7 linked regions of the Cricetulus griseus genome follow. The protein of the gene in region 3 interacts with the protein of the main gene of each other region in a biochemical or structural test. Links are inferred from orthologs where the notes say so. Each region holds a gene or a part of one and is shown on either strand. Other genes may lie near its edges. The genes, in order: Pias1, Rnf4, Sumo1, Usp25, Rnf111, Rad51 and Pias3.

Region 1 (3,698 bases), on a different chromosome or scaffold from region 3:
CTAATGACCTGAGTTTGATCCTTAAAATCTACATAGTGGAAGGAGAGAACGAATTCCTGCAGGCTGTCCTCTGATCTCCACATGTGTGCCATGGCACACAGCACATCCACGATATGGTGCAAGCCTAAAATCCTAGCTCATGGAAGGCAGAGGCAGGAGAATGACAGTAAGTTTGAGGCCATGTCTCATAATACAACTAACTCAGTTACACAAAGTATCTGTTACATGAAGCCTCAGTCAAAGAATAAAAACCAGCATTCACCTCCACCAAACTGAAGGCCACATGCAGGAAGTGTTCTAATAGCCTGTAGAATACTGGGAAGTTCACAAGACCTCAAAGACGACTGCCTCAGGATTCCGACAGCAGTGGGTGCTGGCTGCTGACAAAGGTGCCACCAAGAGACTGGCCATTTTTCCTGGGATTCAAAGCCCTGTTCTCCCCATCTCCACTTCTTTCCTATATCCCTCATCCTCAGACTGCAGGCACACAGAGCGAAGGCATTCCTCAGTCTGTGTGACAGCAGCAAAGGACCAGAGACTCACCTTGTAAGTCATAAGGCATAGGTGTCATATGGAAAGGGTGCCTGTAGTCCTGGATGAGGGAAGTGTTGATGTAGCTTGTATCTACAGCAGGAAGGCTGGGGGTGCGGGACACAGGCGATGCTTGATGAGGAAGACTTAAAATACTGTGGAAAGAAATGTTTAGAAGATGTAACAGTCACTCTAACAGTTTAACAAATGAAACTGTATCCCACAATGAGTCCTACTTTTTATGATAGATAAAAAAATAACAAAACCAACCAAACAAAAAGCAAAACAAATGGTAAGAAATAACTTGGCATGCAGGAGCATTTGCAGAGATTGGAAGGAGAAACAGACAGAATCAATGGAATCACTACTCACAGTCCCCACAGTCCTTAGATCGCCATCCTCCACTCTAAGGATGCAGGAGCAATGCATAGCTGAATCACTATAATAGGACATGAGTGAAAGGTACCCACAACAACGGAGATGGTGGCTCTCTCAAAGTAGGTACTGAAGGGGTAGGTAGTGAGAAATCTAGGGATACCCTTTGTGCTGGATAGTTTTATGTCAACCTGACACAAACTAAAGTCATCTGAGAGGAGGAAACCTCAATTTAGAAAATGCCTCCATAAGACTGAGCTGTAAGTAAGCCTGTAGGGCATTTTCTTAATTATTAAGTATTGATAAGAAAGCAAACTAAGCAAATCATGAGGAGCAAACCACTAAGCAGCACCCTCCATGGCCTCTGCATCAGCTCCTGCCTCCAGGTTCCTTCCCTGTTTGAGTTCTGTCCTGACTTCCTTCAATGATGAACAGTGTTATATAGAAGTATAAACCAAACAAATCCTTTCCTTCCGAACTTGTTTTTGTCATGGTGTTTCATCATAGCAACAGAAACCCTAACCAAGACACCATGGTAAGGAAAATACGAATAGAGACAACTAGGGGAATGCAGCAACTTGAGCAATGAGGAGAAGGCAGATTTATGAACTTGGTGAGAGTGAACCCTGGGCAGTTATCTTTGGTTCACCCAATGTCTAGCTTGGCTATTGGTACAATTTAAATAATAGGGCCTTTGAAGCCAATCAAAGCAGCAAGACAAGGCAAAGTATCCCAAAATGACACTGCATCTGTCTTACATGGTATCTGGAGATCTAAACTCATGCTTGTACAATGAACCAAATCCCCAGCCCTAGCTTTTGCCTCTAATACTACTCCACATAAAGTACTTGCAGGTAGGTGTATATTTTAACAGTACAGATTACTTCAAAAGACACCAGAGTTAGATTTCCTGGAACAGAATCCTAATTATGAGATGCACTACACTTTTCTGAGTGGGACAATAAGCATTAAGACACACTCAGGTGCTGCACAGAAGTGTTCCATCCAAAGGAAATGTAACCCTCTTATACCTATAGAGAATGCCATGTTCCGCAGCAGTGTCTTTTGTTTATGATCAGAAGACTGAAACGGAAAAAGCAGTTGACTGCTGGTCTTTAACAACATCCCAGTCTAGCAAACTGCATGGAACTTCTGGGTGAATGGAAACACTTGGCAAGATGCTGAAGTGCTTATCTCGTGGCTATGAGATGACTGCCTAACCTTCAATTCTGTGACGGCTCAAGTTTACTTCCATATTACAATGTACAACAGTGAATGATCTGCAAGGCTTAGTGTTCTAGCTAGCGGCTAGTTGCTGTTATGAATACTCACAGTGCTACCTAATCATTCTTTAAAAGATGCTAGAGACATCCAGGTTTTATCTACATAGACAAAGAGAAAGGTCTGGCATTTGCAGAGCTGTATCTAGGCTCAATTCATCATGGGCAAAAATCAGGGAAATAGTTAATGCAAGTAACGAAATTTTCCAAACATAACAACCAGCTATTTTGGGAAGAACTATACAGTAAATATTCAAAGAAGAAATATTAGATTTCTAAAGACTCCAAAGTTTTCCTGATGAAAAAAATATAGTGAAATTACTACAGAGTTTACATTACTATTCTGAAGAGGAGAAAATTGCCATACAATTAACCCCAGAGTATTATGATACAAAAATATGACAATACAGTTTTATCCTGATATTTGTGGGGGGGGGGCTGGCTCTAAGAATCCCTGCAGTTAAATTTTGTTCCTCATGTGTCATAGGATTTATGAATCATCTAAGCATATTCTCTGGGTCTCTAGGTTCCTCAAAAACACTTACTACATTGAAATTGTATGGCAATTTTTTTTTTTTTTATAGGATGTCATCTAGTTTAGGGGACTGCTGGCCCCAAACTAACAGCAGTCCTACCGCCCCAGCTTTATGAGTGATGGTGTTATGAGCATGTGCTACAATCTCCAGCTCCCAGGTACAGCATGATGGGAGGCTCCTAGGAAACCAAGGCTACACGTCTTCAAAAATGGGGCTACTGTGAAGGAAAGCTCAAGTCACTGCAGATCTCTCCTGGTACACATGTCTATAGCCAGCTTCAATGATCAGGTGCACTCAGCTTTCCACTCTAAGTGCTCTACCTGAGTTAACTTTATAGTGAGTAGGTTGCAGTTTTTAGCTAGTTTTCTAAACCTTACAAGCAGGCCAAAATGAAGTCTAATACCTTTGCAGCTTCTGACCCAGGCAGCAACTGTGAAAGGCATTTCAATTACCTCTCAGATTCAGAACAAGGTTAGTCTTGACCTCTTTCCCAACAGCTGAGATGGGCATGCAGTGTTCTATCCACATACCCCAGAAAGGGCGAGGATGTCTGGGTTGTGCGAGGACAGCATGAAGGTAAGCAGAATGGCAAGCAGTTCGAGTTTACAAGAAGAAATGTATTGTCTACATTGAACAAATCTAGTGGGGAGACTAGTGGCTCAACTGTCTGTCATGTGGCACTCATTCTAGCAAGGTGGCTATCACCAGGCTAAAATTGGATAAAGACTTCAAAAAATTCCAGAAGGAAAGCCACACCACAAAGGAGGAGGAGAGGCCTCAGGGAAAGAACATTTTTGGGGGGTGGGAGGTGGGGAGGGTCTCATTCTATATAGCAGGCTGATCTGGAACTCAGAGATCCACCTGTCTCTGCCCTCCCAAGTACTGGGATTAAAGGTGTACACCACCACACCTGGTCCAAGAGTAATTCTATTTACAATATTAACCAAAAATTGGTTCAATGAGGGCTAGTGAGATT
Region 2 (3,698 bases), on a different chromosome or scaffold from region 3:
TGGGGCTAGAGAGATAGTTTAGAGGTTATCAATATTACTACTCTTGTAAAAGACTGAAGTTCAGTTCCCAGTATGCACAGGGCAGCTCACAACCATCTTTAACTCCAGTTCCAGGGAATATAATGACTTCTGACCTCTGTGTGCACTAGACACACATGTAGTGCACAGACATATATTCAGGAATACATATGAAATGGGGGGGGTGGCGACTTTCCATGAGGCCCCACATGGGCATTAATAGACACAAACTGGGTCTAATTCACATGCTATACTACACTGTCTCCACTGTCACACATTACAGTTCAGGATTCTGGCTCTTACCACTTTCCACGAGTTCTATGGGTTCTGCTTCCAAGGAAATCTCAGGGGTTGAAGTTGTTTCCCGAGAACGCTTCTGGGTTTGTCTAGAACTTACTGTTCCACCACGACGTTTTCTTTGAGGATTTCTCTAAGGTCATCAAGGGGGAAAAGAAGCAGTTGCATGAGCTCCAGATTTGACAGGGTTTCAGGAAGAGTTAAGAAGTCAACAGGGGAATGGTGTTAATACCCCCTCATATCTCCCCCCCTCTTTCTCTCTCTCTCTCTCTCACACACACACGCGCGCGCGTGCGCACACACACACACACACACACACACACACACACACACACACACACACACACACACACACGGCATGCATAACACACCACACCCACAAACTTGTAGCACCTCTGAAGCAGAAAGAAAAAGAAAATCCAGTGCTTTTTTGTTGTTTCTGCCTGATAAAAGGTCTTGCTGTGTAGCCCCAGCTCTTCCAGAACTCAAGAGATCTGCCTGTATCTGCCTCCAGAGTGCTGGGATTAAAGGTTTGTGTCACCATGTTCAGCTCAGAGTGCTATTTTTATACCCAGTAAGAAACTTTTACTGTTCCCAAACACTTCTGAATTTTAATCATATGTGCAACCTTGAAGAAGGTGCTCTGTCAGTAAGGAGTAAAGAAAGGTCAAAAGACCTTTAGGCAACCTTCTCTAGACCAACCAACACTTTGGGAGACTGGGCAAGAGGATCTATGTGAGTTCAAAAGCACCCTGGTCTACATAGTAAGTTCCAAGCCAGACAGTGCTATATAGTGACACCCTATCTCAATCATTCAATTGTAATAAAAACAAGTTCCAAGCAGTGGTGGCATGTGCCTTTCATCCCAGCACTCTGAGAGGCAGGAAGATCTCTGTGAATTCAAGGCCAGCCTGGTCTACAGAGAAACCCTGTCTCAAGAAAACAAACAAGGGGCTGAGAAGATAGCAATTCCTGGCACCCATGTGGCAGTTCACAACTGTCTCTAATTCTAGTTCCAAAGTATTGGACACCCTTACACAGACATTCGTGCAGGAAAAACGCCAATGTATATAAAATAAAAATACTTAAGTCATTAGAAAAAAGAAACCAACCAAAAAACCAAACCAAAACAAGCAAGCAAACAAACATATTCAACTATGGTTTGCAATCCCATGTATGGTCACATAACTAAATGGGGGAAGATGGGCTGTGAAAAAATATTTGCAACAGCAACATGTTTTCTGAACCTACAAAGACCAAATATTAATTCAAGACCAAATGCACCAAGAACTATTATTTTTCATATTATCTGTCCATGTTGCAGCTTATGACTTCACTACAGCTTTGGTTCTGAACACAACTCAAACTTACAGAGAACATGATGTCATGTCACACAATGCCAACACCTACTGCATATATTTTTTATTCTTACAGAAAGAGAATGGTTTAATTACAAACAAGATTTGTAGCATTTTCTTACCATTATTCTTCAGCATATAATTATCACCCAGTACATTCTTAGATTACACTGCTCTAGTATATTTTGCTTTTTTTCTTTTTCTCAAGATAGGTTTTCTCTGTGTATCAGCCCTGGCTGTCCTGGGACTTGCTTTGTAGATCAGGCTGGCCTGGAACTCACAAAGATCCTCTTGCCTCTGCCTCCTGAGTACTGGGACTAAAGGTGAGCACTACTACCTCTGTGTTTGATACTTTAAAACATGCCTTTAGAAATCCAGAGGCACAGTCAGCTGATCTTTGGAGTTACATGATAGTCAAGGATACATAGAAGACCTTACTTCAAAAACAAAAAAACAAAATCTGTGTAAATTAATGAGTTTCATAAAAAAGTCAATCAAATCAATTTTGGTTTGGGGTTAGGACAGAAGCTCCAATGTTTCTGAAATGGCCATAAATACTACACATTTATTTGAAGTGGCATTCTTAGAAATGCTGATCATGAAATCAAAATACTAGCTGGGCATGCCTTTAAATTGCATGCAGTGCTCAGAAAGCAGAGCTAAAAAATACCAAAGATCTATATAAACGGTCAGTCAAATTTTACCTTTTTTTGCTTTTTAAGAGAGGGTTTCTCTGTGTATGTAGCCCTGGCTATCCTGGAACTGGTTCTATAGACCAGACTGGCCTTGAACTCATTGATCTGCCTCCCGAGTGCATACCAACATGCATGGCTAATTCACTCTTTTTTCCTTTAAACATTTGTGTACATGCATGTACTTGTGCTACTATGCTTAAATGAAACTAGACGACAGTTTTTGGCAATCAATTCTCTCCTTCTACCATTTAGGGTCTAGAGACCAAGCTCAGGTTGTCAAGACTTGTCAGTAAGCACCTTACCTGATAACCGTCTTGCCAGACCAAGATTGATTCTTTATATAAGAGTATCTACCTCATTAACATATAATTTACTTTCATCTTAGTAAATAGTAATAATTTTTTAAAATTAAACATGATTTATTAATACTTGATCTGCTTGTGCATCTACATTACTACCTGAGGTCATAAAAATTTCCCCAAAGAAAAAAATTACAAGTAGAAAAAGTTCAGGATGCCTTACTCTAGAGCCCAAGCACCTCCAGTCTTTATCTGTCTTGCACTGAACCAAAGCTGATTCCCAGAGTAAAAGTGAAAATAGTCATTCTTTATTTTTTTTTTCATTTTATATACACGAATATTTCACCTGCATGCATGAATGTCTGTGTACCATTTCCAGGCCTGTAAAGGCCAGAAGAGACACAAAATCTTTAGAATTGGGAGTTACAAGCAATTCTGTGTTGCCATGTGAGTGCTGGGAACTGCATCCAGGTCCCCTAGAAGAACAGCAAATACTCTTGGCCTCTGAGCCATATATCCCTAGATCCAGTTTTTTGTTTGTTTGGGTTTTTTGAGACAGGGTTTCTCTACTTAGCCCTGGCTGTCCTGGAACTCAATAGACCAGGCTGGCCTTGAACTCAGAGATCCACTAGCCGCTGCTCCTGAGTGCTGGGATTAATGGCATGTGCCACCACCCACCCAGCCCTAGACTCAAGTTTGGTTTTGTTTTTTTTAAGCTTTGTCCCTGTGGAGCATGACTTTTTGTTTTGTTTTTAATTTTTATTTTATGTGCATTGTTATGAATGAGGGTGTCAGATCCCCTGGAATTGGAGGTACAGACAGTTGTCAGCTGCCATGTGGGCACTGAAAAATGAAAATGAATTCAGGGCCTCTAGAAGAGCAGCCAGTGAGTGCTCTTAACCACTGAGCCATCTCTCTAGCCCTCCAGACACAGCTTTAAAATTCTATTTAAATATTTTATTTTGTGTTTGTAGCCCATACACATCGTAACATGACTGGAAGTCAGAGGGCACTGAGAGATGTCAGTTCTC
Region 3 (4,276 bases):
GAATTTATTCTGGGAACTAATAGTAATGAGGTCAATCAGCCTAGACCAATAAATTGTTCCTAAATCTAGTAACACACTCTCAATTATTTACAATCCCATCAGCCTGGCAATGGTGGCACACACTTTTTGTCCCAGCACTTGGAAGGCAGAGGCAAAAGGATCTCTGAGTTTGAGGCCAGCCTGGTCTGCAGAGCAAGTTCCAGGACAATCAGGGCTACACATAGAAACTCTGTCTTAGAAAACAAAATAAATAACCCCTAAAATGTTAGCATACTTTTTCTTCAAGTCAAAATTTCTAAAAGTAGCACTATTTCACACTCTTGCATATTGCTTTACTGTGTAGCTCAATTAAAAAGACTTGTTTTGGGCCAGGTGGTGGTGGCACTTGGGAGGCAGAAGCAGGCAAAGTGAATTCCAGGACAGGCTCCAAAGCTACAAAGAAATCTTGTCTTGAAAACAAAACAAAACAAAACAAAAGTTTGTCAGGTATTGTGATGCACATCTTTCACTCCAGCACTCAGAGGACAGAAGCAAGCAGACCTCTGTGAGTTCCAGGCCAGCCTGAACTACAGAATGAGTTCCAGGGCAGCCAAGGTTACATAGTAAGACCCTATCTCAAAAACAAAAGAAAATCCCAGCACTTGGGAGGCAGAGGCCAGCCTGGTCTACAGAGCAGAGTTCCAGAACAACCTCCAAAGCAATACAGAGAAACCCTGGGGGGGGGGGGGGGGAACAACACGGGACAAAAAAAAAAATAAACAAATCACACATGGACTAGCCAGGTATGGCATAACTCTAATCCTCCCTACTCTGCAACGATAAGTGAGGGAGGAGTATTTATTCCGAGTTCAAAGACACCTTGTGCTACAGAATGAAGTTCAAGAACAACCTAGGCAACATAGTGAGACTAAGTATAAGAGATTCGGATCTAGCTCAGTGGTATAGTGCTTGTCTGGCATGTACACATGTGAGCCCTAAGTTCAGTGCCCAGTAACAAGTACTACACCCTAGTGTGGCTTCACAGATCCCCTGAAAACAGCCTGTGTCCTAGGTTCTCTTTTCCTTTCTCCATAATCTTTTTTTTTTTTTAATAGTTTTTCAAGACAGGGTTTCTCTGTGTAGCTTTAGAGCCTTTCTCCATATTCTTAAATGATGTGAGTTCAAACTAGAGCAAAAATAATTTTAAAATTTCTAACTGTATGTTGCCCTTCATCAGGCTGACATGCCTTCTAGTTCCTTCTAAAATAAAAGACTGATGAAACTAAGCATTTACAGCTCATCTTTCCTCCCTTACTCGGAACTATCTGGAGAGATATTCATAAACGAATTTCTATCCAGATTAAACAGAATTAATCCAGATTATTTATAAACAAATCTACCCCACAATTAATCTACATTATGGATAGGCTACAAAAATAGAACCATATTATCCAGGTGGTGGGGAAGCATGCCTTTGATCCCAGCACTCAGGAAGCAAAGGCTGGGAATCTCTGAGTTTGAGGCCAGCCTGGTCTACAGAGCAGTTCCAGGTTAGCCAAGGCTACACAGAGAATCCTGTATCGAAAAACAATTAAATAAATAAATAAATAAATAAATAAGATTAAATTAAAAGAAAACAGTTCAACTACACTGTGGTGCTGAATGAAAAGTTTACTGAATAATTATCATTATAGACAAACGTCAAAAAAAATTTGAAAATTCAGTCCTCTAAGCAAACAAAAGGAAAAACAGATAAAAATCCTATGTATTAAAACTAGCCACAAACGTGGTAAACAAAAATGGGATGAAGGAAATTAAGGTGGCAGTATTCCTAATTTGAATGCCAATACCATGCAAATTCTTAACATTAATACGGAGACACAGCATTTTACTATTAATTGGCAGCTTTCTGTAAACATTCTGCAGCTGTAAATATTCAGTTTTTCTATTTTCCTCAAAAATATCACCTGGAAGAGGGTGATATGGAGGTGCATATAACCAAGATACGTCGTTTACGTGTATAAAATTGACTATGTTAAAAAAAAGTGCCATTTTTGAAAATGTAACAATCATAAGCAGGCTAATGCCCAGATGAAATAAATGGCTTGTTGGTGGTGGTACTCTAACCTAGTTTCGTTTGTTTCTCGGTTATTCTGAACTCTCCTACAACTAGAGAGTTGATGGACCAATCCCGAGTAAGAAATGGAAAGTACAGAAAAAGAGCCGACCGATCCGCACCCCCCAGATGGAAAAAAAAAAAAAAAAAAAAGACGCAGAAGGGAGCAGAGGCGGACAGGCCCTCCCGGCAAACACAACGGAAAGCAGCGTCTTCTGGGTCCCAGGAACCTCAGGCCAGGCTTCCTCTCCGCCCCCCACTCCGAGACCAAGAACCCAAAGTGGAGTGGAGCAGCTTTTCGGGGCTACCTACCCTCCCAGTCAGGGATTCCCTCCCGTTACATAACTAGGCCTGGGGCCCTGTTTCTGCCATCGGTCCTCTGAAGGGAAACGGTCGATTTCTCTTAGGTTGCTCTCGGGGACAGAGGAGCGGGCCTGGGCCCCCGGCGGACCCGCGAGAAACCTGGGAGCCGTCGAGAGAGCCGCGGCGCGGGGCAGCGGGAGGGGGGCGCGGGGAAGGCGGCGGAGGGCGGGTGTTCCCCGGAGCCCCGCGGTCCCGGGCGGCTGGGCCCGACTCGGCCGGGCGCTCCGCGTCCCTCGCGGCCCCCTCCCCAGCAGCAGCCCCCTCCCCCAGCTGCGTCCCCTCCCCCGCGCCGCGGTCCCCGGGCCCAGCCAGCGGCCGACAGCTCTGAGCCCCGATGCCCTGGCCCAGTACCTGGTCAGACATGGTGATGGTGGCTTCGCCCGGGGGTCTCCGCACCACAGCGGCCTCCGGCAGGCAGAACCTCACTCTGAGGTTTACAAATCTGTCTCTTCCCCACAGCACAACACCGCGGCTGCAGGGACTTCCGCTACGTATTGCGTCACTTCCGCTGCGCGCAAAGGAGACTTTGGGAAGACGGGAAAAGGAGGCGGGAAAACGCCTTGGGGAAAGGCCTTGGGGCGTCTGACCTGTAAAATTGCTTGCCCGGAGCAAGAGAACGACTGTGTGTTCTGCCGCTGGGAGACCCGGCCGGCTGCCTCAGCCCCCTAGGGAGACCAGGGCATCGCCACCAGGCTGAATGTTTGGGGTCAAACCGACATCCTAGACTCCTCCCTCTCGGACACCTTGCGCGCTTCTCCGAGCTAAACCAAGTTCTTTTGTCTGCTCCCAACCTTACTAACCGTCCCTAAATATAGGGAATCGCCGGTATAATATTTTTATTACCTTCTCTTGTTTGCTGCCAGCACACTCATGACCTTGATTTAGGACCACAACGAAAAGACGACCCCTTAGAACACATATTTTTTGTTTTTATTTTTGTTTTTTGAGCAACCCTGGCCGCTCTAGAACTATGTAGATCAGCCTGGCCTCGAACTCACATAGAGTCTCCTACCTCTGCCCCCAGCTCTAGGACAGTTTTAAGAGCTGTAGATGACTAAAATGTTGAAAGTTTTTAAGTTTGAAGTTATAGGCAGAAGGAGCTACCTCCAACCTATTAACTATTTGCCTTTCGTCACAGAAAGACCTAAAATTCTTTGACTACCACGACCTTCTTGCACAGGCATTAAGTGTGGATTACGGATATATAAGTAAAAAGAGTAAAATTGAAAAAATAATTGTTGTGTGTGTTTTTCCGATACAGAGTTTCTCTGTGTAGCTTTGGAGCCTGTCCTGGAACTCTGTAGACTATTCTAGACTCTGCTGCGTTAGAGGCATGTGCCACCACGCCCCCCAACCCCCGGCAAAAATGAAAATTCTAAATAAATCAATAACCTTTCACAGTATAAGACGTTAGTAAAAGAATCTTTTCGGACTGGAGAGATGGCTCAGAGGTTAAGAGCACTGACTGCTCTTCCAGAAGTCCTGAGTTCAATTCCCAGCAACCACATGGTGGCTCACCATCCCTTATGAGATCTGGTGCCCTCTTCTGGTGTGCAGATATACATGGAAGCAGAATGTTGTATACATAATAAATAAAATCTATTAAAAAAAAAAGAATCTTTTCTTAGGGGCTGGAGAGATGGCTCAGGGTTTAAGAGCACTGACTGTTCTTCCAGAGGTTCTGAGTTCAATTCCCAGCAACCACATGGTGGCTCATAACCATCTGTATTGTGATATGGTGCCCTCTTCTGGCATGCACTGTATACATGATAAATAAATAAATCTTTTAAAAAATCTAGGAAGTCTTTATTTAAAAAA
Region 4 (3,698 bases), on a different chromosome or scaffold from region 3:
CCGAACCATAGCTTAAATATCTGTTAATAAAATATACCAAAGTTTTATATATATTGTCAGCGTATTTGGTTTTCTAAGTCTTATAAAATAAGGCAGAAATGAAACTCGCTTACTTTCTAAGGGAGAAGATGAAACAGAATACACATTAAGGAAATGCACTAAATGATCTTGAAGGGAAGGACAGCAAAGCTGATCAAGATGGAAAGCCGTGAGTACGGATATACCTAAGGTGCTGTTCTAAACTGCAGATCAGTGAGAAGATGCTCTTCTAAACTGTGGATCAGCAGGAAGACACAGTGATGAATCGTCTGCAAACGCTCCCTTCTCTACTCTAGCCTTGCCTTCAAGGTAGTGACTTTAACATCATTTACCTTGTGAGCACTTTTCATACATGTATGGGAATCTTTTATGAATAAAAGTCACTGGAAATATGATAATTTGAACTCAACTTTTGTTTTGTTTTGTTTTGTTTTGTTTTTGTTTTTTCGAGACAGGGTTTCTCTGTGTAGCTTTGGAGCCTATTCTGGCACTCACTCTGGAGACCAGGCTGGCCTCGAACTCACAGAGATCTGCCTGCCTCTGCCTCCCGAGTGCTGGGATTAAAGGTGTGCACCACCAACGCCCAGCCAAACTCAACATTTTATGTTATGAATATGAAGACTAAAATCAAAGCAGAGGGTAAAGTTGGAGGTAAGCAACCTGAATTACTCAAACCGCATTTCAGCCTGTAGACTTACCTGGCTGCATGACACCCACATTCTACATTTTATGCTGTTTCCTAAGGAATCAAGCAGTACTGTGGATGTAAAAACATCTGCACATACAGCCCTCCCTTGGGTACTTGATAGCACTGGCTCCAGTCACACTCCTATAATCTTCCCTCCCTGCCCATCTTATTCCCGAGTGACACTGCTGCATGAATCTTGGGAGGCCAGGGACACTAGTGTTATCTTATTTGCCATTCCCTTCAGCACAAAGTAAATCTCATGCTCTGTGTTGGAGTCCTTTAGCTCCATGTACAGCATCAGGGTAACAAGCTGTTGATAATCACATATTTAATTTCAATTTCTAAAATAATCATCTAAAGCCTATTAAAGGTGCAACCTAGTTTCTGAAATTATTGATCAAAATTTAAATCCAGAATGATTATCTATGACTACTATTATAAGCTCCCCAAAGCATATTTAACATTAAAAATCTAGTCACAAAACACATGCTTTCCCATCACAATGTCATAGCAGTTAAAATACCTTTCTAATCTTTGTTGTAATACTGTGAGGTAATCTTTAAGTCTTTTGATCTCTTCACGTTTAATTCTTGTTATTTCTCTGTTTCTGTGCATATACCTATATCAAGGAAAAAACGAGCAATCATTAGTATTCCCAAGTATCTTGGAAATAGATATGGTGTGCAGCCTAATTATCACAACAAAAGATCAACTGAAATTTTATAAGGTATCACATGTAAAACAAGAACTATTTTAACATTCCAAAATACAGTTATATAAAAGAAAATTAACATTCCCTTGACAATTAGTGAGATAACGTATATCAGTTAAGCTGAGACTCACTGAACTGTTGCAAAATTATACCATTCTAAATAAACCATACCTGTCCAGATACAAAACTTGGGGGAATTCTAATTTGTTGTGAATTTTTTCTGGTCTTCCCAATGCCTGGTTAAATTCAAATCTTGACAGTTCAAATGTTAATACAGGTGGCAGCTCAGTAAACCAATGCTGAAAGACAACAACAACAGACACTCAGAATCTCCCTCTCTGTTTTGCCCCATGGCACTTTTATGGATAGGGTGCAATGATGGTGCTGATGTCACCATCTGACACCACTGAGGAGGGAATACAATGGTTTCCTAACAGCTAAACTTCCTTTTGAAAAATTCCACAGCATTTGCAAATCCCAACAGTGGGTCTGACAATAAGAGGACAGAGGGAAGCCTTATCTCCACAAGGCTCTTCTTCCACAATTGTTCACATTAGAAATTCCAGCCAGAAGAAAAGGAGACACCTGTTGCCATTAAGACTCAAGAGCTCTGCCTTCTTCAGTCTTATGTTGAGTGATACTGAACTCAACCAGCTTGTCAAATCCCATGACTTGACTGAAAGGGAAGAAAATACTTGTCTGGTACAAATACTCACTGTTCTCGGGAAAACATTATCTTCCTATATTATTCTTTTGTCTTCTTATTTTTACCTTGAATTTTACAACTACACATTATACTAATTCAGGAAATAGATTTGTCATCAGTGAATAAAATTATGCTTATAAGAAACATATTCAGAGTATTCAAATACAAACTAGTGTTTACAGTGTTAAATTTCTTGCTGTTATGACCCAGTTGTCATCCACACATGCGCACATGAGTCAACAAAACTTCAAAAAACTTCTTTTCGTGAAAACTTCAAGATTTACAAAAGCCTACCATTTGTTTAAAAAGATGAATGTTTATATTCACAAACCAATATAGAGATGTAAAAAAAAATAGAACAAATGCTTTTTAAGTGTTTATTTTTATAAGCCCTACAACAAGATTCTGTTGAAGGAAATGCAGCACCTACTTCACAGTGTGTCAATGCTCCCAGTGTCAGGAGAATGCCACCACACCCCCTCAGTAAGTGTGGATGAGCTTAGACCTGAACCCAAACACAGGAATAAACATCTCAGGCTTAGCAAAAAGAAGTGAACTTGAATCTAGAGCTGCTACTTTTCTCCAAGTAAAGCTACTAGAAGTCATATACTTATTTGTTGCTATTTCTCCCTCCCCAAGCACTACTGATCACTGGCTCTGCTACACTTACCTGAACTGAATATGAGTAAGGTTTTGCCCAGGTCAGATATAAGGAACATGTTTTATAAGAATCACCAAAGACCTAGTATAATAAGTATGCTATGCTAGGTTTAAAAGAGAAAAGTCCCTGGAGATTGAGTTATGGGAGGTAGTGTGCTCCGAGCTTGGAACTGAACTCAGGACCTCTGGATAAGTGGCACAAGCTCGTAACTTTTGAGCCATCTGTCCAGCCCATTCCATTTAGTTCTTTCTCATTTCTAAGGTTAGATAAAAATTAAAACATTGTCTCTGATCTCTTATAGACAAATTCCTGATTCCATAGGATAATATTCCAAACTTCATTTGTGATATTCAAACAGGCCAGCATACTTTTAGAATTGTTACTTCAAAATTTACCTCAGTCCTTTAAATATCTTTCCAACTAACTTACTACACATTTTAACTGATGAGAACCCACAGTGGCTGGGAGAAGTGAAGTGACCAAAACTGTGGAAAGCAGTCTTCTACACATTTCTGTAGTACATGAGAGGATGCTCAGAGAATATTATGTAGCATGTCTGTATTGGGAACGCATTTTCTCCAATAGCAACACAGGTTTTTTCCTACTATAAAGTGAAAAAACTTCATTATCTTTGTCTACAGTTCATGAGCTCAAGATAAAAACCAGGCATTTCCTAAATTCACTTTAAGGAATCATTAATTACATACCTAGCCCTGAACTATTAATGTTTCAAGCATAGTAACATATAAATAGAAATTTATGTAGCACAATATTTTATTTCTAAACAAACAAGACCCAAATTCTTATTAATACCAATGGACATTATCATATAATCTCCATTGGGGTTGGAAAGGGTCTCATAGGCCAGGCTGTCTTGAAATCCTATATAGAC
Region 5 (4,303 bases), on a different chromosome or scaffold from region 3:
GGACAGCACTATGTGGAACAAATATGGCTTCATCATGGGTTAATGCATATGTATGTGTTTCATTTGCACCATGACAGCATTTACACTTCCCACAGAGTATTTCTTTCTGGAGATCTATGGAATCCAACAGTGAATACCAAAAGAACTAAAAATAGAAGCTATTAAATGTGGCACACACATACACCCAAAAACAGAGGCCAGAAATAAACAACATATATCAATCTTACACTAATTTTACTAATTGGGAAGGATATAGGCCAGGAAAGGTTAACAATACATTTTTTTTTTTTTTTTGGTTTTTTAAGACAAAAGATGGTTTTTGGTTTTTAAAAGATGACAAAAGAAACCCTGTGGCTTTGGAGGTTGTTCTGGAACTAGCTCTTGTAGACCAGGTTGGTCTCGAACTCACAGAGATCAGCCTGCCTCTGCCTCCCCAGTGCTGGGATTAAAGGCGTGAGCCACCACCACCCAGCCTTAATTACTATTTTTTTGTTCTGTCAGTCATATTAAAGTCCCAGCCCACCAGGTTAGGGTCAAAGCAGGGGGGCATACAAATAAGCCATAACTAAAGCATGATACCAAAGGCCTTCCTTAACATGACATATATAAAATAAACACTTAAAGCTCTAAACATTTTGATGCAATGAGCTTTCTAGTCCATATTTTCAAAAAAATACACAGATGTGCCTGCTGAATAACTTACTGTTCCTTTGCTTCATGCAAGTAAACTGCCGTCCTCTTGGGACATCAGTAGAAGCATAGAAGCATTTCTCAATTTCTCACAAACACGGAGCACCAAAGTGAAACTTGCTGAACGTAACCTCAGCTAACATACATTCTTCATTAAAAGAAAGTATTCTTATTATAGCATTCATGAAACACAAACTCTAGACCCAAGTACAATGGTAAAAACCTGCAGCCCCAGCTCCCTAGGAGGCTGAAGCAGGAAGATCCCTGAGTCTAGGAGCTGAAGGCCAACCAGTTCTAGTGACCAACAGACAGAGACCAATGGGAAAAGATGACAAAAGAAACCACACACATATGACACAGCCCTGACTAGCAAGAAAAGACTATTCTTACTAATATTCTTCAATGTCATTAGGGCCAGTTCACAAATATCCTCACTAATTTTTTCAAATACTACAGAGAATCTTAGGTGACATGCCAGCGGAATACAACAAAATATTTTGTTCATGGTTAAACCCTAAGAGAGTAGCAAAAGAGTTATACATACATTCGGGGTAGGTGTTCAAGACAGGGTCTCTCTACATAGTTAGGGCTATCCTAGAACTCACTATGTAGACCAGGCTAGACTTGAACTCACAAAGATCCCCCGGCCCCTGACTCTCATGAGCTGGGATTAAAAGTTTGAGCCATCACGCCCAGCACTCCCGCTACAAAAGTAGTAGTTAAAGCTAAATAATTTGTTTCTCTTCAGAGTAGAAGCTTCCTCAACCTGTGTCACAATGTAACAAAATACCATAGTTACCAGTTTCTACATAAATGTTTTTAACTGAAAGAAAAAGCAAAAACAAAGATCACATAGTAACAAACTATCAAAATATGGTTCCGGAGCTGGAGAAACCGTTTGGAGTCAAGAGTGTTTATTCTTGCAGAAGACCCCAACTTGGGGGTCCCAGCGCCTACACAGGGCAGTGCAAAGCCTCCCTTAAAACTCCAGCTCTAGAACATTAGATCCTCTTCTGGTCTCCACGGGCACCTGCACTCACATGCAGACCCACACACTGACATACACCCATATGAAGGATTTTTTAAATGTAGACCCCTATCCTAATGAAGCTAAGTAAAATCAGAACTATGGAAAGAATGTCTACGTAAACTCAAAACTCACGTGATAAACACAAACGGGCAAGGAGGTGGAACCTCAGCTCATCTTTTTCCCAGTCTGTTCCTTTCGGTTAAAGAGGTACCAAAAAGAAGAAAATTAAAGATAAAATGCCAAATGGAACAAAGTTTGGTTCAAGAGCTATCAGAACTTTTACAATGAAGTCTGTCAGCTGGCTCGCCGCTACTCAGGAGTTCTAAACTCACTCTGTACATAAATCAAGGAATAGGAAAGCTCTCAACAACACAATGGAGTCACCCCACACTACAGACATGAGCAAATTAAAAGAAGGCGCTATAACTTCCTGGTTGGTTTTGTTTTTTTTTAGACGCTAAAAAGTCACTCTTGCTTTAAGACATTATCTATAAAGCCCTATAATCTAGGAGATGTGGTGACAAACCTCTAGTTCTCAGTACAAAACCCGATGCTTTCACCGCACCGCTGCTGACTCCGATCAATTATCTAGGCAGGATAAAGAAAACATCTTTTTTTAATGACTAACCAGCCAGCTCCACACAATATCAGACGCGTCTGTCTTCTGCTCCACGGACTGCGCGTGCTCGCCCGCACCGGGCGGCTCCCGGCTTCGGCCCGGGTTACCTTCTTTACTCCATTGTCACCCCCACGCCTGGGCCTTCAGCCCCCGTCCTGCCGGCGGGCAGCGGCGACAGGGTGCGATCCCCTCACCCCCTCCCGCTTAGGAGGCTGTGGGTGTGTCCGCGGGCGGACTCTCGCCCGGACACAATGAGCCGCTCCGCGCCGCCCGGGACCCGCGGACATCCCCCTGCCGCTGACCCCGGCCGCCAGCCGCGGCCCTTCCTCTTTCTCCCCACAGCTCGGCCCCTCCCCCGCAGCGCGCAAGCGCCGCGGCGCCGCTCCCCTCCCCCGCACCCCCCTTTCCTCCGGCGTCCTCACCCGAGTCCGCAGCCCCCGTGCGGCCAGGTCCGGGGCTCGCTGGCGCGGGCCGGCAAACAGCGCTCGGCCAGGCGAGGCGAGGCTGAGGCGGCCCGGGTGGCTCTCCTCGGGAGGGCGTCTGTCAACGCCGCGGCCAAGCGTGCGGCTGAGCCCGGCTCGGCCCGACCCGGCTCGGAACGCCCGATCGTGGCCCACGCGCGCTCGCGACCCTGAACGGCCGGCGTTTCTACGCCGCGCAGTCCCGGCGCCCCGCCACCATCGCCGCCGCCGCAGCCTGGCTCGGCCCTCCCCGACTGCGCGAGCGCGACACCGGGGCCCTTTTACGACAGTTCGGAAAGCAAGCGCGCCGGACTCACGCCCTCTCACGTCCGTATGTCTGCGCGTGCGCGGACCTTCGCCTGCCGGGCTCGCCCCCCTTCGGCCCCCGGGCCCGCCCCCCTGCGTCCTAGCCTTTCCCCTTTTGCACTGGCTTTCTCTTACTGTTTGTTGGCCCTGTTGAGCTACGTTAAGAAGAAGCTCGTAGGGTTCATTTTCTTCGGTGATTTCGGGGTCAACAATACTTCAACATGATTCTGCCTACATCCTGGTTACTTTTTCTCTTCTAAATCTTACCGGCTGCACTTGCAGCGCTCTTAAAGCAAAAACGTGGTGTCTTTCCCAGCAAATGACACCCAAACTAGAGATCACATCTCGCTGTTCAAGTGAATTGTTTCCAAAATCAGTTCAAGGGTGGTATTAGATAGCCTGGAAGCTCTGGCTATACAATCTGAGAACACTTCTTAATTACCTCACAAAACAAGATGATTGCAATGTTTCATTGCGTGCCCTAGGAGGCAACACATAAGGACAGAGCGTGGCCTCTGCGGTCAATCAGGCAGACTTCTGGCCAGAAAGCTGATATATTAACACCTTTATAAATCTCAGTTTCCTCCTTTATTAACCAGGATAACTTTATATGCTTTAAAACCATCTTTAAGGTCAAATTTGGCGATTTATATAAACCTCCATATATTACCAATTAAGTGTTCAGTAGGCATTAATTCCCTCCTTAGACACAGGCTCTTCAATAATTTTATTCACTCATGTTCTCCATATTGAGTGAAGAAGGTGTTTTTAAATTATAAGCGAGGAATAATGAAAGAGCATTGGACCTGGATTTCCTCAGTCCCCCAATGGCTTCTCTCTAAAAGTAGGATGCCACCTGGACTATTGAGGCCGTTGACTCATGATGTCTCAAACCTCTGTTTTCATCTCTCTCCTTTTTTTCCTCTTTAAAGATTTGACTTGTATTCCTTAATTAAGGTAGACACACTTGCCACATACGACTCTTGAACACTTGAAATAAAGCGCTATTGACTTTGTATTGGCTACATCAATTTTAAGAACTACATTTCAAAACTGTGAAAAGTCCAATACTTTTTACTATGGATTGCATGTTAAAGTATATTTTTACTTCGCTTGGCTAAGTTCATGGATACAAAGATGGTCTGTGGTGTTTTTCACAACAAATGATTCCCAAATCATACATGATACTGAGTAAAA
Region 6 (3,698 bases), on a different chromosome or scaffold from region 3:
TATTAAACCAATAACAGTGGCACATCTTCACAGTGTACAAAAAATTTTTTCCGCAACATATACACTTGCAGGAAAAACACTCATACACATAAAATAAAACAGATAAAATTTAAAAATGAAAGAAGTCTAGAGCACAGCTCAATAGCAGAGTATGTACTTAAAGCCTACATGAAATCCTGGGTTCAATTCCCAGCCCAGAGACAAAAGTCAAATCAAAACAATATGCAGCTCATATTCTTATATTTTGGGTTGTGAGCCTAAGCTTTAACAGTTGAGCCATCTCGCCAGCCCATAGTTCATATTCTTACCATGGAGGAATAACAACATTAATATTTTAGTGCATCTATTCTAGTGCACATTCTATACATGCATACAAAATACACATATTTTAATGGGGCCCTACCCCCACTCCTGGATTTATATACTGTTAATGGCTAATGGGGGAAAGAAATGTTTTCTTTAGTGGTGTAGCTACTGTGAGCAAATGCTCACCATGGCACTGTATAATGAAACTCACTGCATCACGTCAACCCCCAAGGCCACGGAAGTAGTTGTTCAGGGGAAAGAAGGGGATCAAGAGTAGGAAGGAGACAATTGAGGATGATAGGGTATGATGAAAATATATGTGTGATGAAAATATATGCGTGATGAAAATGTAATAATATGCATTAATATAGGCTAAGGAAAGCATTAGAAGAGATATGAATGTATATTGTTAACGTGATTTTTTTGTTGTTGTGATTGGACCCAAGGCTTTCAGCACACCAAGCTATCACTCTGTCACTGAGCTACATTCCCAACTCTCACCTGCCTTCTTATATAAACATGTTATCAATATCATTACCTCTCTCTCTTTTTTTCTTTAGAAGTACTAATAATTAACCCAGGGCCTAGCACATGCCAGGCAAGTACTTTCCCCTGAGCTATATACCCAGTCTCTTTGTACTTTGAGGCAGGGTCTCACTAAATTAAGTTGTCCAAATTGGCCTTGATGAATTCACTATGTCAGAGACTGGCCTCCAACTTCCTGTCATAGACCCCACAGTAGTTTGAACTGCAGGCTTGCACCTAATGATGTGACGTCAATATTCTTCTAAATTGTTTTAGTGGCTACATACATAATAAACATATTCTGGGGTCTGGAAAAATGTCTCAATGGTTAAGAGCACTTGTGCTACCAGAAGACCAAGGTTTGATTCCCAGGACCCACATGTTTGCTCACAAACATCTGTAACTCCAGTTCCAGGGGATCTAACACACTCTTTTAGCCTCTGAAGGCATGTATGTGGGGCACAGACAAGCATGCAAGCAAAACACCCATACACATAAAACAAAATAATTTTAAAGAGGAAAAATCTTTATGAGGAGAGATCATATTCAAAATAGTAAGGTGCATACCAATCACTTCTACTGGGAATGTTAAACAGTATTTTTGGCAGCATTTGTATCAAATTCCACAATATTGCATTCCTACAGGAAATCTGAATTTAAGATAAAAACTCCCAACAGCCAGGCAGTGTTGGCATTGCCTTTAATCTCAGCACTTGGGAGACAGAGGCAAGAGGATCACTGTGAGTTTGAGGTCAGTCAGGGCTGTTACTCAGAGAAACCCTGTCTTGAAAAACAAAAATTGCCAACAGTCACTTCTAGAAAGATGACAAGAGAATGGAAGAGGCAAATGGTGGGATAACTAAGCCTCAATGTGTCTGACAGCTGGCCTAGACAGATAGTAAGAGCATGTGCAGTAGATATTTCCTGACAGCTGCCAGAGGGCCTGGACAACAGCAGCAGAGTCTAACCAGAGAAAATGTAGACCTATGGACAGTGACTACATCCTCAGCAGATGCCAGCTCAGTGGATCCACCCCCTGGGGCAGAGTGGGAGGCATATAAAGTGAGCTTTATTGTTCACTTTGTTGTTTCAACTTGTTCCTGTGTTGTTGGTGTCTACTTGCCCCACCACCAAGGACCCTGAAACAGCAAACAACCATTCACTATATACTGTTTTGCAGTAATTATTCTCACTAATGCATCTGTCCTCCCCCACCATCACATAGCTATACTTACCAGAATTTTGTCTGCTTTGGCTTCACTAATTCCCTTAATATTTATGAGTTCCTTCTTTGGTGCATAAGCAACAGCCTCCACCGTATGGAAACCAGCTTCTTCTAATTTCTTCACATCATTGGCACTTATGCCACATTGCTGTAAGAAAACAATGGGTAACTTAGGCCTCTTGTCTAAAACGGATATTACAACTTAGGTATTTGAAGACCACTAATACACAAAAAGCCTCTAAAAACTTGTCTACATATGAATTATTAAATAACAAGCTATACACTTTTTCATCATCAAAACTAAGTTTTAGGCTAGGGAGATAGTGTCTGCTATTACCCTGAGGAGGTTGAGACACTTGGGTCCCTAAGACTCACTAGTCAGGCAGCCTAGCCTAACCAGTAAACTCCAGGCCAAAAAGTGTGTATCTTAAATAAATAAATAAATAAATAAATAGATAGATAGATGGCTCCTGAGGAAAAAATACTGCGGTTGACCTCTGGCTCCCATGTACTATCCCAGGCACATGTGTTACAGGCTCACAACTGCCTATAACTCCAGTTCCAGGAGGATCTGATGCCCACTTCTGACCTCTGAGGGTACTAGGCACATAGATGATGCACACATTCATGAAAGCTAGACACATATACATAAAATAATAAAACTAATCTAAAAAAATAAAACAACACAAACAAAAGCAGCTATGCTGGTACATGCCTAACACTTGGGAAGTGCAATCAGGAGGATCAGGAATCAAGGTTATCCTGAGCTACATGGAGAATTCAAGGCCATGCTAGGTTGCATGAGACCCTGTCTCAAAACTAAAATAAATAGAGGCTGTGATAAACACCATGACCAAAAGCAACTTGGGATAAAGTGTTTATTTCAGCTTACAACGTATAATCTGTCCTGAGGGAAGACAGGACAGGAATCAAAGTGGACTAAATATTTTCTCTGAACTTGTCAAATGCAAATGGACTATACATTGTTGATGAACCTATTGCCTATATATTGTACTTTCTATAAATAGTTTTTCTTATGTCAGTTGTAGCCTTCTTTTTGTATTAGACAAAAAAAGGGGAACTGTAAAGATATATTATTAATGATTTATTTTTTAAAGATTTTGTATTTATTTCCATCTCTCCAGCCCTCTATTTATGATTTATTAAAGCTTGCCTGAGGATTCAGAAAGCAAAGTCAGGCATAGAAGCCAGTCCTTAAGAGAAACAGTTCATGCCTTTGATCCCAGCACCTGGGATCACACAACTTTAATCCGAGAATTGGCGAAGTATGTAAGACAGGAGCAAGGTCAGTATCAGGCATTCATTCTCCAGCCACGTTGAGAACAGGAATACCCCAGCCCTCTGGAAGCTTGGCTGCTTTGCTTCCCTGATCTTCAGCTTAAACCCCAATATCTGTCTCTGGGTCCTTTATTAATTCATGTTACATCAAAATACAGACCTTGGAATGCTTACTGGCTTGTTCCTAGTGGCTTCCTCAGTATGCTTTTGTATACAACCCAGGACCATCTGCCCAGGGGTGACACCACCCAATGTTCTTCCACACTAATCATTAAGAAAATGCCCCACAGGAGCAGGGTGTTGGTGGTGCACACCTTTAATCCCAGCACTGGGAAGGCAGAGG
Region 7 (4,330 bases), on a different chromosome or scaffold from region 3:
TTGCCTCTGAAGTAGACTGAGCTTTTGAAAGGTTTTAAGCCCTCAGCACCTAACAATCCCTCATTAGCAGTTTAATATTTACCTCCCCCCCTTGTCAAATACTTACTGAACAAATGACAATATTCCTTAGGCCCCAAACAACTATAAAATGTGGAGTTTTGTTTGTTTTACAATAACTAGTATATAAGGCACACTGCCCTAGAGTCGCTATCTTCATAAACATAGAAATGAATTACTCTAGTCTGCGAGTGCGTGGCCTACTGGGGAAGGGCAAAGCTTTGGAGGAGGGAGTAGGCATTTCAATGAGGGACAAAAATGTTTCCTTTGTTCGTGTTCCTCCCCTGTGTTCATTTTGAAGGACACCAAAACTGTGAGATACCTAGTTACTGTAAGCACATTTGAAGGTCGGGTGATAGAGGGCCATCTGTAGGGTTTGCATTGTTTATTTTTCCATTTGTAGCCTTAGGCTTTCCCCTAGGCAGATGGAGATTTCATCCTAGAACCTTTTTAAGCAACCAGGTTCCCGGTGCACACAGTCCTGCCTCCCTGCCCAACCCAGTCCTTACACTCCCGCAAGGGATCACAGGGTCACCGAGACTTTTGGAAAGCTTCTCTCCTAAGCGCTCCCAAGAGTTAACATCTCGCGCCGGGCTCCTGGGCTCCGCCCCTCTCCCCTCTCCGAGGTCCTGGCGGGTTTATCCCGGAGGGGGCGGCCGCAGCAGCAACGCTCGGCCGGGAGGAGCTCTGGTCCGGGCGGAGCTGCGGCTGCGGCGTCCCCCTGCCTGCCTGCCTGCCTGCCTGCCGGACGGGACCGGACCGCTCTCTCGCTGCACAGCCTGCGGGAGCAGCGCGGGCCCTTTCCGCGCCGGGGCGCACTCCCGCAACTCTGCAGGTAAGTCTGGCCTCCCGCACCCAACTTTGTGGCTGCTCGAGCCTGGCGTCGTGTGGCGCCAGCAGGAGCTACGCTCGGAGTGGCTGTGTGTCCGGGGGAGGAGGCGAAGGACCGGCCACAGCCATCTCACCCAACTCCCCCCTAAACCGGGCAGGAGCGCCGCACTCCCAGAGTTGGCAGAACTCTGGGGGTTTCGCGGGCTAAACTTTTAGCAGCTCGGGGTGGGGGGGTGGTGGAGGGGACGACGACGACGGGACACGGGCTCCAACTTCGCCGCCCCTCCCCCACGCGGTGGAGCCCCGGCAGGGCAGTTCCGGATGCTTTTCCCTCCGTCTTTCAAGTCTCCTCGGCTCCCCCCCCCCCGCAAAAAAAAAAAGCCCGTCCCTTCGGGCCCGCCCCCTCCTCGTTACCCGCAGGGCCTCGCGGTCCCTGGGCCGCGCTCTCCCCGCGGGGCCACCGCGCCGCCCGCCCGCCCGCCGGCCGCTCGCCGGCCGGCCGCGCCGCCGGAGACTTGCCTCGGGCGGCGGGGCTGCGGAAGAAGGGGCGAGGCCGGCGGCCGTCCGAAGCCCGGCGGGCGGGGCCGGGAAGGGGAGGTGTAGGGGGCCGGACGGGGCGGAGCAGGCGGCCTTTGCGGCCGGCGCTGGGGCGGAGAGTTTGCGCCGGTCCCTGGGCCTGAGCTCCGGCTCGGGCTGGGGCGCCTGCGATGTCTCAAGATGGCGGAGCTGGGCGAGTTAAAGGTACCTGCCCCCTCCCCCAGCCCCGTCAGGACTCGCCCGGCCGCGCGCCGAGGCGGGGAGGCGACCCGGCTGGGCGCCGCGGGCCGCGGTGGGCGCGGGCGACGTGTCAGGGACGACGGGCTGCAGGGATGCGCGGGCAGCGGCCGCGGGAAGAAGGGGCTGCGGCGGCAACCCCGGGGCGGGGCCCCGCAGGGCAGATGTAGGGGTGGGGTGGGGCGGAGGGGGAAAATTGTCGCTGCCGCCGGGGGGGGGGGGGAGACACCCGCGGCATAGGGGGCGGGGACGTGGGCCGTAGCCGCTTTTAGTAGGAGGTTTTGCAGGGTAGCGTCAGGCGAGAGACAGCCGCTCCAGAGGCGTAGGGGCGAGTCCCATCGGGGCAAGAGATGCGGCAGTAAAGGGGAGACGTAGGGATGGGAGCCGAAGGCCACCCAAATGTTGGCAGGCTCCCGGGGACGTGCGGCTGAGGATGGAGGCTCCCGGGCTGCTGCTGTTGGCATCTGAGCCTTGGGAAGTACCAGTTGGCAGCTGAGACGTAGGGGGCGGGGCTGTATGGGAGTGTACCTGAAGGGATGGGGCAGGAGCATCCTGATGGCTGAGGGGAGGGAACTGTCTTAACGAGGCTCTCTGTCTTGGGAGAGGTGGAGGAGTGTGAGCCATGGGATAGAAAATAAGTTACAAAGCCAGCGGAGAAATTAAAAAAAAATACAAATAGGAGGAGGTGAGAATGGAAAGGTAGAAGGACAAGGTTTTCATCACATCCCTGAAAAGGAGCCCAAGAGGAAAAGAACTTGGAGAGCTAATGACCTGCCCACGACTAGGTCTTGTAGGCATTTACAGAAGGGAGCCCTACAAGGAGGACATCCCTCGGAACCTTGGACCTTCCTTCCCCCATCTTCTGGCTTTGCTCCGTCCTTGTCCTAGACAGGCTTGAGTTCTAGCCACCTTTTAAGAGCTTACTTTTGAGCCGGGCAGTGGTGGCACATGCACTAGGGAGGCAGAGGCAGGAGGATCTCTGTGACTTCGAGACCAGCCAGGGGTACACAGAGAAACTGTCTCAAAAACAAACAAAAGAAGAGCTTACTTCTGTGCGGTGGTCCATGGACATCAGTATCATTTTTCTGGGATCTCTGTTGAGAACTTTGCCCCTGGTTTCCACCCCTGTGGGTGTGTATACCATGTATGAGGGAGTAAATCAGGTCAATTACCTAGACATGTGGATTAACCCTTCTCCCCTACAAGTTTTGATAGCTTCCTTCTAGTAAAACAGGACTAAAAGAGTGTGGGTATGTATATAATATAAAAAGTGTGTGTGTGGTGGTGAGATGATGATGATGATGAAATGTTGAACTTTGACCTAAAACTCCTGACCATAGAAGCTTCAATTCAGAGATATGGGGAGAATAAATGGATTGAGGTGATTGGGAGGGGCGGGCTGTGGTATACAATCCTCTAGCCACCTGGCCTTTTTCTTCCTCATGGGGCTGCCTGCCCCGAATCCTTCTCTTCCTCCTCCTGTCCTATCCTTTTCCCAGGAGGCTAGGAACACCCTAAGAGTCTGAGCCCTGGAGAGACTATAATCAGCTTAAGGGAATGTCTGGATCAGGGGTGGGGATGGGGCTAAGTGGTCCCTGTGGTTTCAGCTAGTCAGGTCAGCTACTTGGAGGTAGTGCACTAGTTTTAGAAGTACCTTCCAACACCGAGGGTGGAGGGGAGAGGCACTGTCCCCCCAGGAGTTCTGCTTCTGTCATCAGCAGGACAGGCTTTTGTGACGTGGCATGGGATTATTTCTGTGCTCTTCTCCTAGCACATGGTGATGAGTTTCCGAGTGTCTGAGCTCCAGGTGCTCCTTGGCTTCGCTGGCCGGAACAAGAGTGGACGGAAACACGAGCTCCTGGCCAAGGCCCTGCATCTCCTCAAGTCCAGCTGTGCCCCCAGTGTCCAGATGAAGATCAAAGAACTTTACCGCAGGCGCTTTCCCAGGAAGGCCCTGGGGCCCTCTGACCTTTCCCTGCTCTCCTTACCCCCTGGCACCTCCCCTGTAGGCTCCCCTGGCCCTCCAGCTCCCATCCCTCCCTCCCTTCTAACCCCTGGGGCCCTGCTGGGCCCTAAGCGCGAGGTGGACATGCACCCACCTCTGCCCCAGCCAGTGCACCCTGATGTCACCATGAAACCGCTGCCCTTCTACGAAGTCTATGGGGAGCTCATCCGGCCCACCACCCTCGGTATGGCTGGGCTATGGTCCCTCAGAGTTCCTTTCTGGACTCTGGTTCAGGCTCGGGTTTTTTTTTCTTCTTAGATTTTAGTGTTGTAGAACCAGCAATCTGGGATGGGAGCAAGTAGCTTCCCAGGCATGGGCTTGGGAATGACTGTGTGTTTGTGTCCTCAGCATCCACCTCCAGCCAGAGGTTTGAGGAAGCGCACTTTACCTTTGCCCTCACTCCCCAGCAGGTGCAGCAGATTCTCACATCCAGGTACATCTCTCATCCCTGCCTTGTCTGTGGGGACTTTCCCCCCTGCCTTTGCCTCTGCCTTTCTTCTCTGTTCTACATCGTCTCTTGTTCTTCTGCCTGTCTTCTGTCTGCACCCTGGACATCTTTCTCTCTGCCTAGCCCCACCCTCTGAATTGACATTTCTCTTTCTATTGCAGAGAGGTTCTGCCAGGAGCCAAGTGTGATTATACCATACAAGTGCAGCTAAGGTG

What was found.
Region 1: the proteins of Sumo1 (region 3) and Pias1 form a complex in vitro, tested with the Homo sapiens proteins (6 studies listed by BioGRID and IntAct, with this or other methods). The link is inferred for Cricetulus griseus from reciprocal best matches to the Homo sapiens genes SUMO1 and PIAS1.
Region 2: the proteins of Sumo1 (region 3) and Rnf4 form a complex in vitro, tested with the Homo sapiens proteins (5 studies listed by BioGRID, with this or other methods). The link is inferred for Cricetulus griseus from reciprocal best matches to the Homo sapiens genes SUMO1 and RNF4.
Region 4: the proteins of Sumo1 (region 3) and Usp25 form a complex in vitro, tested with the Homo sapiens proteins (2 studies listed by BioGRID). The link is inferred for Cricetulus griseus from reciprocal best matches to the Homo sapiens genes SUMO1 and USP25.
Region 5: the proteins of Sumo1 (region 3) and Rnf111 form a complex in vitro, tested with the Homo sapiens proteins (3 studies listed by BioGRID). The link is inferred for Cricetulus griseus from reciprocal best matches to the Homo sapiens genes SUMO1 and RNF111.
Region 6: the proteins of Sumo1 (region 3) and Rad51 form a complex in vitro, tested with the Homo sapiens proteins (2 studies listed by BioGRID and IntAct). The link is inferred for Cricetulus griseus from reciprocal best matches to the Homo sapiens genes SUMO1 and RAD51.
Region 7: the proteins of Sumo1 (region 3) and Pias3 form a complex in vitro, tested with the Homo sapiens proteins (2 studies listed by BioGRID and IntAct, with this or other methods). The link is inferred for Cricetulus griseus from reciprocal best matches to the Homo sapiens genes SUMO1 and PIAS3.

Annotation. Positions count from the first base shown.
Region 1 is NC_048597.1:174,372,139-174,375,836, forward strand, and holds part of Pias1 (E3 SUMO-protein ligase PIAS1), read right to left. Parts: intron 687-3,698; coding exon 544-686; intron 1-543. UniProt on the Homo sapiens protein: Functions as an E3-type small ubiquitin-like modifier (SUMO) ligase, stabilizing the interaction between UBE2I and the substrate, and as a SUMO-tethering factor. Catalyzes sumoylation of various proteins, such as CEBPB, MRE11, MTA1, PTK2 and PML.
Region 2 is NW_023276807.1:103,330,485-103,334,182, reverse strand, and holds part of Rnf4 (E3 ubiquitin-protein ligase RNF4), read right to left. Parts: intron 449-3,698; coding exon 322-448; intron 1-321. UniProt on the Homo sapiens protein: E3 ubiquitin-protein ligase which binds polysumoylated chains covalently attached to proteins and mediates 'Lys-6'-, 'Lys-11'-, 'Lys-48'- and 'Lys-63'-linked polyubiquitination of those substrates and their subsequent targeting to the proteasome for degradation.
Region 3 is NC_048595.1:413,930,729-413,935,004, forward strand, and holds the start of Sumo1 (small ubiquitin-related modifier 1), read right to left. Parts: upstream 2,967-4,276; 5' UTR 2,822-2,966; coding exon 2,810-2,821; intron 1-2,809. UniProt on the Homo sapiens protein: Ubiquitin-like protein that can be covalently attached to proteins as a monomer or a lysine-linked polymer.
Region 4 is NC_048597.1:18,205,721-18,209,418, forward strand, and holds part of Usp25 (ubiquitin carboxyl-terminal hydrolase 25), read right to left. Parts: intron 1,739-3,698; coding exon 1,611-1,738; intron 1,347-1,610; coding exon 1,251-1,346; intron 21-1,250; coding exon 1-20. UniProt on the Homo sapiens protein: Deubiquitinating enzyme that hydrolyzes ubiquitin moieties conjugated to substrates and thus, functions in various biological processes including inflammation and immune response.
Region 5 is NC_048597.1:182,047,371-182,051,673, forward strand, and holds the start of Rnf111 (E3 ubiquitin-protein ligase Arkadia), read right to left. Parts: upstream 2,973-4,303; 5' UTR 2,762-2,972; intron 2,605-2,761; exon of another isoform or gene 2,349-2,604; intron 1-2,348. UniProt on the Homo sapiens protein: E3 ubiquitin-protein ligase. Required for mesoderm patterning during embryonic development. Acts as an enhancer of the transcriptional responses of the SMAD2/SMAD3 effectors, which are activated downstream of BMP.
Region 6 is NC_048599.1:59,371,620-59,375,317, forward strand, and holds part of Rad51 (DNA repair protein RAD51 homolog 1), read right to left. Parts: intron 2,205-3,698; coding exon 2,067-2,204; intron 1-2,066.
Region 7 is NW_023276806.1:59,801,239-59,805,568, reverse strand, and holds the start of Pias3 (E3 SUMO-protein ligase PIAS3), read left to right. Parts: upstream 1-1,479; 5' UTR 1,480-1,605; coding exon 1,606-1,629; intron 1,630-3,433; coding exon 3,434-3,851; intron 3,852-4,015; coding exon 4,016-4,100; intron 4,101-4,276; coding exon 4,277-4,327; intron 4,328-4,330. UniProt on the Homo sapiens protein: Functions as an E3-type small ubiquitin-like modifier (SUMO) ligase, stabilizing the interaction between UBE2I and the substrate, and as a SUMO-tethering factor.